2 linked regions of the Neurospora crassa OR74A genome follow. The protein of the gene in region 1 interacts with the protein of each later gene in a pairwise test. Links are inferred from orthologs where the notes say so. Each region holds a gene or a part of one and is shown in the gene's direction. Other genes may lie near its edges.

Region 1 (3,753 bases):
CGTTCCTGACATTCAAACTCCCATTTGAATTTCCTATGTTGCGGATTTGTTGTCTTGCTCTCCCCGAAAATAAGGGTCCAGGGGTCCAGCCGCACTAATCAAGCGAGGAACAAGAGGGAGAAAAAAAGAAAGAAAACAAAATAAGGGGGAAAAGACGTTGACTCGGTGAAGCTGCCGAGATGGGATGTCTCGTCCAGAGACACATATCAGTCTACTGCGTAGCTGCCTGGCATGGCTGGCACGACTGGTCGACTGGCTCACGCCGGCGAGGAACGAAAAAAACCACCACTACCAGCGCCACGGGATTGGGAGCACCATGAGCACTAGCTGATCATCACGTGCGGATTTTGGCGTTTCTTGGGAGCTGAGCCGGTGAAACGCTCCTGACTGCGGCACCGACTCCGGCATTGACTTTCGGCAGTGTGTGTGTGGTGATATCGATCACTAATCAACCGGAGAGTGAGAGCATGTCGAGTGCAACGGGCCGACTGAACAGGTCCGCTTCCAAGTTTTCGTCCGTCATCCGTCCCCTCCGGCCAAGGAACGAAGGAATGGCTGCTCCGATCCCAAACACAAGATTTACCGGCCGGCCGGCGTGGACAGACCGCAACACGGGTGGGTGGGTGTCCGACGGCGTAAAACGATAATAAAATATAGCGCTTTGCGCGCGACACAACGATCAACGTCAAGACACACAAAAAGGTTCAAAACACCAAGAAAAAAAACAACTTCTACGATGATGGAATGTGTGGAACCTCTGACGCCGCCCTAGTAATTTTGGTCATCTTCCCAAAGGCAGACAACATACATGGGCAGCTCTTATGGAGCCATTTGAAGAAATCAATCCCCTTCTTCTCCGCGTCGCGAAATCGCAGAATCACCATAGGACACGGTTCGAACCCCGACAGAATGCCGGAGCCGATGTGCATTTGCGATGTTCGGCACTGTCTGAGGACGCGTTGAAGAAAAAAAAAGAGGAGAAAAAGGTGCAAGATTGAAAACGACGGAAGGGTTTCTCTAAAATACTTGCGAGGAGCGGAGGAATTTTGGGTGGATCTGCCAGAGAAGCACAGACCTTTTCTTTTTTTTTTCTTTCTCGAAAGACGGACAAAAGTTCAGCTGGGGCCGATGGGAAAGAGAGTCGAAAGTCTGCCCCACTTCCTTCCATCGGAACACTTGAGTTGTTGGGTCTTGCGCCGACGACGATGACCTAGAGAGCTCGAGCAGCTGGACTGGAGACCAATTAACCCCGATTCTCTGATGATGCTCCCGTCACGGAAATGAAATGGCAGCATCATGATGGAATGGAAAATGTTCACCTTCGACCCTGCCAAGACTTACCAAGCCTTTCCCTCTTGGGTGTGGATGTGACTTAGCGAGCCTGGCAAGGCTACGGGGACCAGCTGACCGACAGCTGGAGCTGAAGAAGGTTCCACGTCGAGACTTGTCACAAAGGGGCGGAAGCTCGCTGACCACGAGTGCTTGGCATTGCTGCTTGGTGCTGTGAGCTCTGTTCTGGGCTGCAGTGGCATTGCTGGCCGCCAGGGTGTTCTTGGCCTGTGCTTTTCGAGATCTGGATGCACCATCGCTTCCATGTCACCACTTGTCGCGACGTATTGATAGCGACAACTGCACACACTCGTCTTCAGTTGCAGGATAGGTATCGTGGCTTGCCCGCGCTACACCTTTGATAAACAACAACGACTGTGATACTTTGTTTGCAGTTCTTGACCCTCAGCTCCTCGACAGGATTTCAACCACCTACGGCGCATGTTATAGCCCATTGACGAACCGAGTTCGAACTCACTTTTGGCGCTCGCGCCTACCATACTCGATTACCCCCCCTAATCGTAGCTTGCGCCTTGTATTACCAGTGCCCCTCCTCCGTTTCCGTCAACACCTTCTCCTCGACCACGACGCCGACGACGACAACAACAACTCTCTACACTCAATCTCCTCAGACAACAACAGACACCACAGCTTACCATGGCGTCCGCCATTTTCTTTCTAGATCTCAAGGGCAAGGTGGGAAAATGCTCATCTGGTGGTGTCGCAAAGTCCACAGCAAAGCATCCAAAGCTGACCGCCCAATGCGCCCTCACTTAGACCCTCCTTGCCCGTAACTACCGCGGTGATATTCCCATGTCGGCCGTCGAAAAGTTCCCTATTCTATTAAGCGAAGCCGAAGAAGAGTCGTCCGCCGTACCACCATGCTTTTCCCACGAGGGTATCAACGTATGTTATCTACAAGCCCGTCGTCGTCGTCGTCCACCCTGCTGCTGCTGCTGCTGCTGCTGCTGCTGCTGCTGTTGCGAGAACCTCTTGGGCCACAGATTTGCTGAACACTTTCTTCGGTCATTTAATATATATAGTACCTCTACATCCGCCATAATAACCTGTACCTTCTCGCCCTCACAAAACGCAACACCAACGCCGCCGAGATCCTGCTCTTCCTGCACAAGATCGTCGAGGTCTTCACCGAGTACTTCAAAGCGTTGGAAGAGGAATCGATCCGGGACAACTTCGTCATCATCTACGAGCTCCTGGACGAGATGATGGATTTCGGCTACCCGCAAACGACCGAGTCCAAGATCCTGCAGGAGTACATCACCCAAGAGTCGCACAAGCTCGAAATCCAAGCGCGCCCGCCCATCGCCGTCACCAACGCCGTCTCATGGCGATCCGAAGGCATCCGCTACCGCAAGAACGAAGTGTTCCTCGACGTGATCGAATCCCTCAACCTGCTGGTCTCGGCCAACGGCAACGTCTTGCGCTCCGAAATCCTCGGCGCCATCAAAATGAAGTGCTACCTCTCCGGCATGCCCGAGCTGCGCCTGGGCCTAAACGACAAAGTCATGTTCGAGACCACGGGGCGCACCACGCGGGGAAAGGCCATTGAGATGGAAGACGTCAAGTTCCACCAGTGCGTACGCCTGTCGCGCTTCGAAAACGACCGCACCATCTCCTTCATCCCGCCCGACGGCGAGTTCGAGCTCATGTCGTACCGCTTGAACACCCAAGTCAAACCCCTGATCTGGGTCGAGTGCGTGGTCGAGTCCCACTCCGGTTCGCGAATCGAGTACATGCTCAAAGCGCGCGCGCAGTTCAAGCGCCGCTCGACGGCCAACAACGTGGAGATCATTGTGCCGGTCCCCGACGACGCCGACACGCCCCGGTTCCGGACGAACGTGGGGAGCGTGCACTACGCGCCCGAGAAGAGTGCCATCGTGTGGAAGATCAAGCAGTTTGGTGGCGGCAAGGAGTTTTTGATGCGCGCGGAGCTGGGTCTTCCTAGTGTGAGGGGCGACGATGAGCACGGCGGTGGCATGACGGGTGGATTTGGTGGCAGTATGGGTGGTGTCGGTGCCCCCGGGAAAGGAGCCAAGAGGCCGATTCAGGTCAAGTTTGAGATTCCATATTTCACCACGAGTGGGATTCAGGTGCGGTATTTGAAGATTACGGAGCCAAAGGTAAGACTTTTTTTTTTCTTTCTTTACCCATGTTTCTTCTAGCACCTGTGGCTGCTAGTTACTGACGATTTGAAACAGCTACAATACCCCTCCTTGCCTTGGGTCAGGTACATTACGCAGTCAGGAGATATCGCCGTCAGATTGCCCGACGCGGTATGAACGACGAGGACTTGGATACGGGCAAGAAGAAGCCTTGTTTTTTTTCTTCAAAACAAACGACAGATCGTGGAACAGAAAACCTACAATTTACCTACCAGCTGGGTGGGGCATGAAAGGGAGCGGC
Region 2 (3,718 bases), about 730 kb from region 1:
TGGTTCAATGGAGCCTAGAACCGATTATTAATGATTTACTGGCATGGGTCCGGGGGTGGTTCGATTCGGGAGTATGAAGGTACCTTTTGTAAGCTTGTGATGATATGTATCACCACAAACGCCGATGGTAGGGTGGTGTTGCCAGAGATAGGCAGCTGTAACGACACAGGGGAACATCAGTTTGGAAAAGTATGAATATCCGTCGTCGACCAAGAACATAACCCAGGATAGAGGTTAGACGGAGTTTTCGCAATGTGGGATGTCCGCAGACCATAAATCGGAGAGGTCATCATCCGACTCTCGGATTTTGACCTTGCGCTAGGTGAAGCATGGCTCTACACGCAACTCCCAGGGAAGGCGCCATGAGCAAGAACAAGTGCGGACTCTCAAGCAAGTTTGTCAGAGTCGGAGATGCACGTCGCGGACATTGCCGAGAATGTCAACGGCAGCTATGCCAGCTTCGGCATCTGATGACTGTCGGTTGCGTTCTCAACCACACTTTGGTGTAGATATGCGCGGGATGCCGTAGAAGGAGAAGAAAGCAACAGCCAACCAGAAGGTCTGACAGGAACGGGATGTCTTGTTAGGTGAGGAACTGCCCGGTGAACGTGGGGAGCCTTGTACTTCTCCCACGATTAGTAGGTCATGTTCGCTTGTTGCAGCCACCAACACTGAGGAAGAGAACTAGTTGAGTCATGCCGGCAGAAGATGATAGAAAAATGAACCAGACGCCCGCTACGACTGAGGGGGTTTAATGAGAAAAGGGCTTCCCTTTTGATCCGTCCTTGAGATTTTGTGTGCGTTAAGTGGTTTGCCCAGCAACATGGGATCAGCAGAAGATAAAAAGTCAATCAACTCAATTGTCGTTAGGTACATAGACAGTTAGACGATCAACGAACTCCCATGTTAAGCCTCGATCAACTCAGGAGCACATCATCCACTATAAGACCACTAAAGAAGCCTCTGAAAACGAGAAGTGCCAGATGCACTAATAGTCTCTAGGATCGGGTAGAGCCCCACTTGCCTTGGGTCTGGTTCTTCAGGCACATTGGACGGCCGTCGTCCCGCCCCTTTGGACAGCTCCAGGCGGGAGGAGTCCAGGCTGTCGGCGTGGTGTCCTTGTCAAATTTCCCGCCCGTGACAACACCTCCATGATCACATTGTCGACTCCCGCTCAACGTGATCCCGGGTAGTTGATGGAATCATCGTCATCATGGCTATTCAGTATGCGCCCGACAGTCGCCATCTTGCTATTCACAATGAAGTCAAGCTGACCCGGAGCTCTGCAGCTATCTAATCCTCCTCTCGCGCCAGGGCAAAGTGGTGCGTCTTGCCCGCCGCGGGCGTTGCTCTCGTCCCCAACCACGCTGTCCTTCTCCCGACTAACCGCACGTCAAATATCCAGCGCCTGGCCAAATGGTTCACCACTCTGTCTCCCAAGGACAAGGCCAAGATCGTCAAGGACGTTTCCCAGCTTGTCCTGGCTAGGAGGACTCGCATGTGCAACTTTCTCGAATACAAAGGCAAGCTCCGCCAATTCTCCTGGATCGCAACATAGGGCTAACTAACTGTCTTTTTGCTCGTCTGCAGATACCAAGATTGTCTACCGCCGATATGCCTCGCTTTTCTTCATCGCCGGATGCTCCTCCGAGGACAACGAGCTGATCACCCTCGAGATCATCCATCGCTATGTCGAGCAGATGGACAAGTACTACGGCAACGTCTGCGAGCTCGACATCATTTTCTCCTTTACCAAAGCCTACTACATCCTCGACGAGCTCCTGCTGGCGGGAGAGTTGCAGGAAAGCAGCAAGAAGAATGTCCTACGATGCATATCGCAACAAGACGCCTTAGAGGACATGGAGGTGCGTACAAGCATTTGACTTGGAGCCGTGACCGCTTGCCCGGACAGAATTTGCCTTCTTCCCGCGTCGCTACGCCTACACGCTCCCCCCCCCCCCCCCCCCCCCCCCCCCTTGTTGCAATCCCTATCCGTAAACCACCGCGCTCACTGACACGTTTATTGCACTTCCTCAGGTCGAGGATGAAGTCACAAAGATCATGTAAAGGCTGATCAAGCTTTGTGGTGTCTTTTTCTCTCCATCATCACGACCGACCGAACCGGGTCCCCTCAAACACTTGCGATTGCCAATGGTCGACATTTATTTACCCCAACAGCATACGCTAATGCATACCTTTACCTCCTGATGCAGGATTTGGAAGAAATAAACAACGCACTCAAGCAGGCCGGGATTCTCTGAAGCTGTGGTAGCGACCACAGTCCCTCCGATAGGTGACGGCACCGGATGGACAGACGAGAGGGGCGACCCGAAGCACGAGAGTACAGCATATGCAACCAGGGAGGACAATAATAATCGCGCCGAGAGAAGGGGAAGCAGAGTGTGGTGTGGTGGCAGGAAGTCGGGGCTACAGTCACCCATTAGGAGGGAGCAAACTCCCTTTCCTTAATCATATAGATATGGGCATTGTAGATTAATGAGCTGCCAAAACTGAGCCACTCGGAGACCGGATACACCACTAGTGTCCTAATCATGGACGATGATGGGAGGAAACCAAGTGGAATGCGTATCCGGTACACTGGGCATGGCCTCGGCGATGTGCTTAATGATAACAACGATTCAACGACGCGTTGCCAACACCGATCCATCTGTTCATGACCTCACACATCGGGTGTATGCGCAGAAACAGATCGATTCGCTCGGGAGACGTTGGGGTGGCGTTACCTTGATGCCCACCAAGGAAAGGTTTGTCCACATCGACGTTGGAAGCAACGCTCGTGGAGGGTTGAGACGACTCTATTCGTCAGGTGGTTGTGGTTGACAATTAACATTGATGAGCAGCATTCAGGCCGGGACACACATTGACACACAGGAAGTGGAACGCACTGCGATTACTGACTGGAGGCTTCCAGGCGGAACGGCGGAGGGGAGTGAGTGGGAATGGAGACTTGGTGGTGACAAGGGAACGCCGATCACTTAGGGGGTGCGACTCCACCCGACTCGAGGAGCCAGCGGCGCATGACCGGGGTTTAGGCGGGTCGACCCCAGCAATCCCCAGCGAGCCAAGGCCAACGTGGGCTGGCGCAAGCAGGCCACTCACCCGAAAGGCCACCCACCTGTTACTGTCAGCGTCAGCGAACCGGCTCTGGCCCTGATGGCACGGCTTGGAAGGAACGTCAGATAGGTAACGAGCCATCGATGGAAAGCGAGACCGCAGCCGGGGCACCAAGGGAACATATCAATGACCAACAAGAGGACTGACTGGAGCCAAGCTGAACACAGAAGAAGCATGATGGCTGTACACTCACTATACCGACCCGATAACCGGCGGTCCCCTTGGATTCAATTCGGATGGATTGGAAAGAACATCATACACTACATGTATGGGATTTATCCAAGTTGTCCCTCCTCCCACTTTTCCCACTTTTTGTTTCCCAAACTGATCTGAACCTCACTTCAACTAAACAGCAGGACATCACTCGATATATGACGATATCGTCACCCCTATTTCTCCTCACGCTAAACTTACATCAACATCAACAACATCAAAAACCCCACTTCTAACTATCTACTGTGTACAACCACCTACACCTTTTCACTATCTGTACTCGACATCGCGCTAGACATTATAACATCCCGTGTCCCTGTCTTTGTTCATACCTAAGACTTGATCTGGGAGTTGATAGGCAGGATTTCCA

What was found.
Region 2: the proteins of NCU09688 (region 1) and NCU10618 interact in binary tests that used the Saccharomyces cerevisiae proteins (3 or more experiments, as listed by UniProt). The link is inferred for Neurospora crassa OR74A from reciprocal best matches to the Saccharomyces cerevisiae genes APM1 and APS1.

Annotation. Positions count from the first base shown.
Region 1 is NC_026505.1:834,858-838,610, reverse strand, and holds the start of NCU09688 (AP-1 complex subunit mu), read left to right. Parts: upstream 1-1,594; 5' UTR 1,595-1,986; coding exon 1,987-2,025; intron 2,026-2,106; coding exon 2,107-2,235; intron 2,236-2,372; coding exon 2,373-3,470; intron 3,471-3,548; coding exon 3,549-3,629; 3' UTR 3,630-3,753. UniProt on the Saccharomyces cerevisiae protein: Component of the adaptor complexes which link clathrin to receptors in coated vesicles. Clathrin-associated protein complexes are believed to interact with the cytoplasmic tails of membrane proteins, leading to their selection and concentration.
Region 2 is NC_026505.1:1,564,082-1,567,799, reverse strand, and holds NCU10618 (AP-1 complex subunit theta-1), read left to right. Parts: upstream 1-772; 5' UTR 773-1,213; coding exon 1,214-1,224; intron 1,225-1,289; coding exon 1,290-1,323; intron 1,324-1,405; coding exon 1,406-1,523; intron 1,524-1,590; coding exon 1,591-1,865; intron 1,866-2,037; coding exon 2,038-2,067; 3' UTR 2,068-3,169; downstream 3,170-3,718. UniProt on the Saccharomyces cerevisiae protein: Component of the adapter complexes which link clathrin to receptors in coated vesicles. Clathrin-associated protein complexes are believed to interact with the cytoplasmic tails of membrane proteins, leading to their selection and concentration.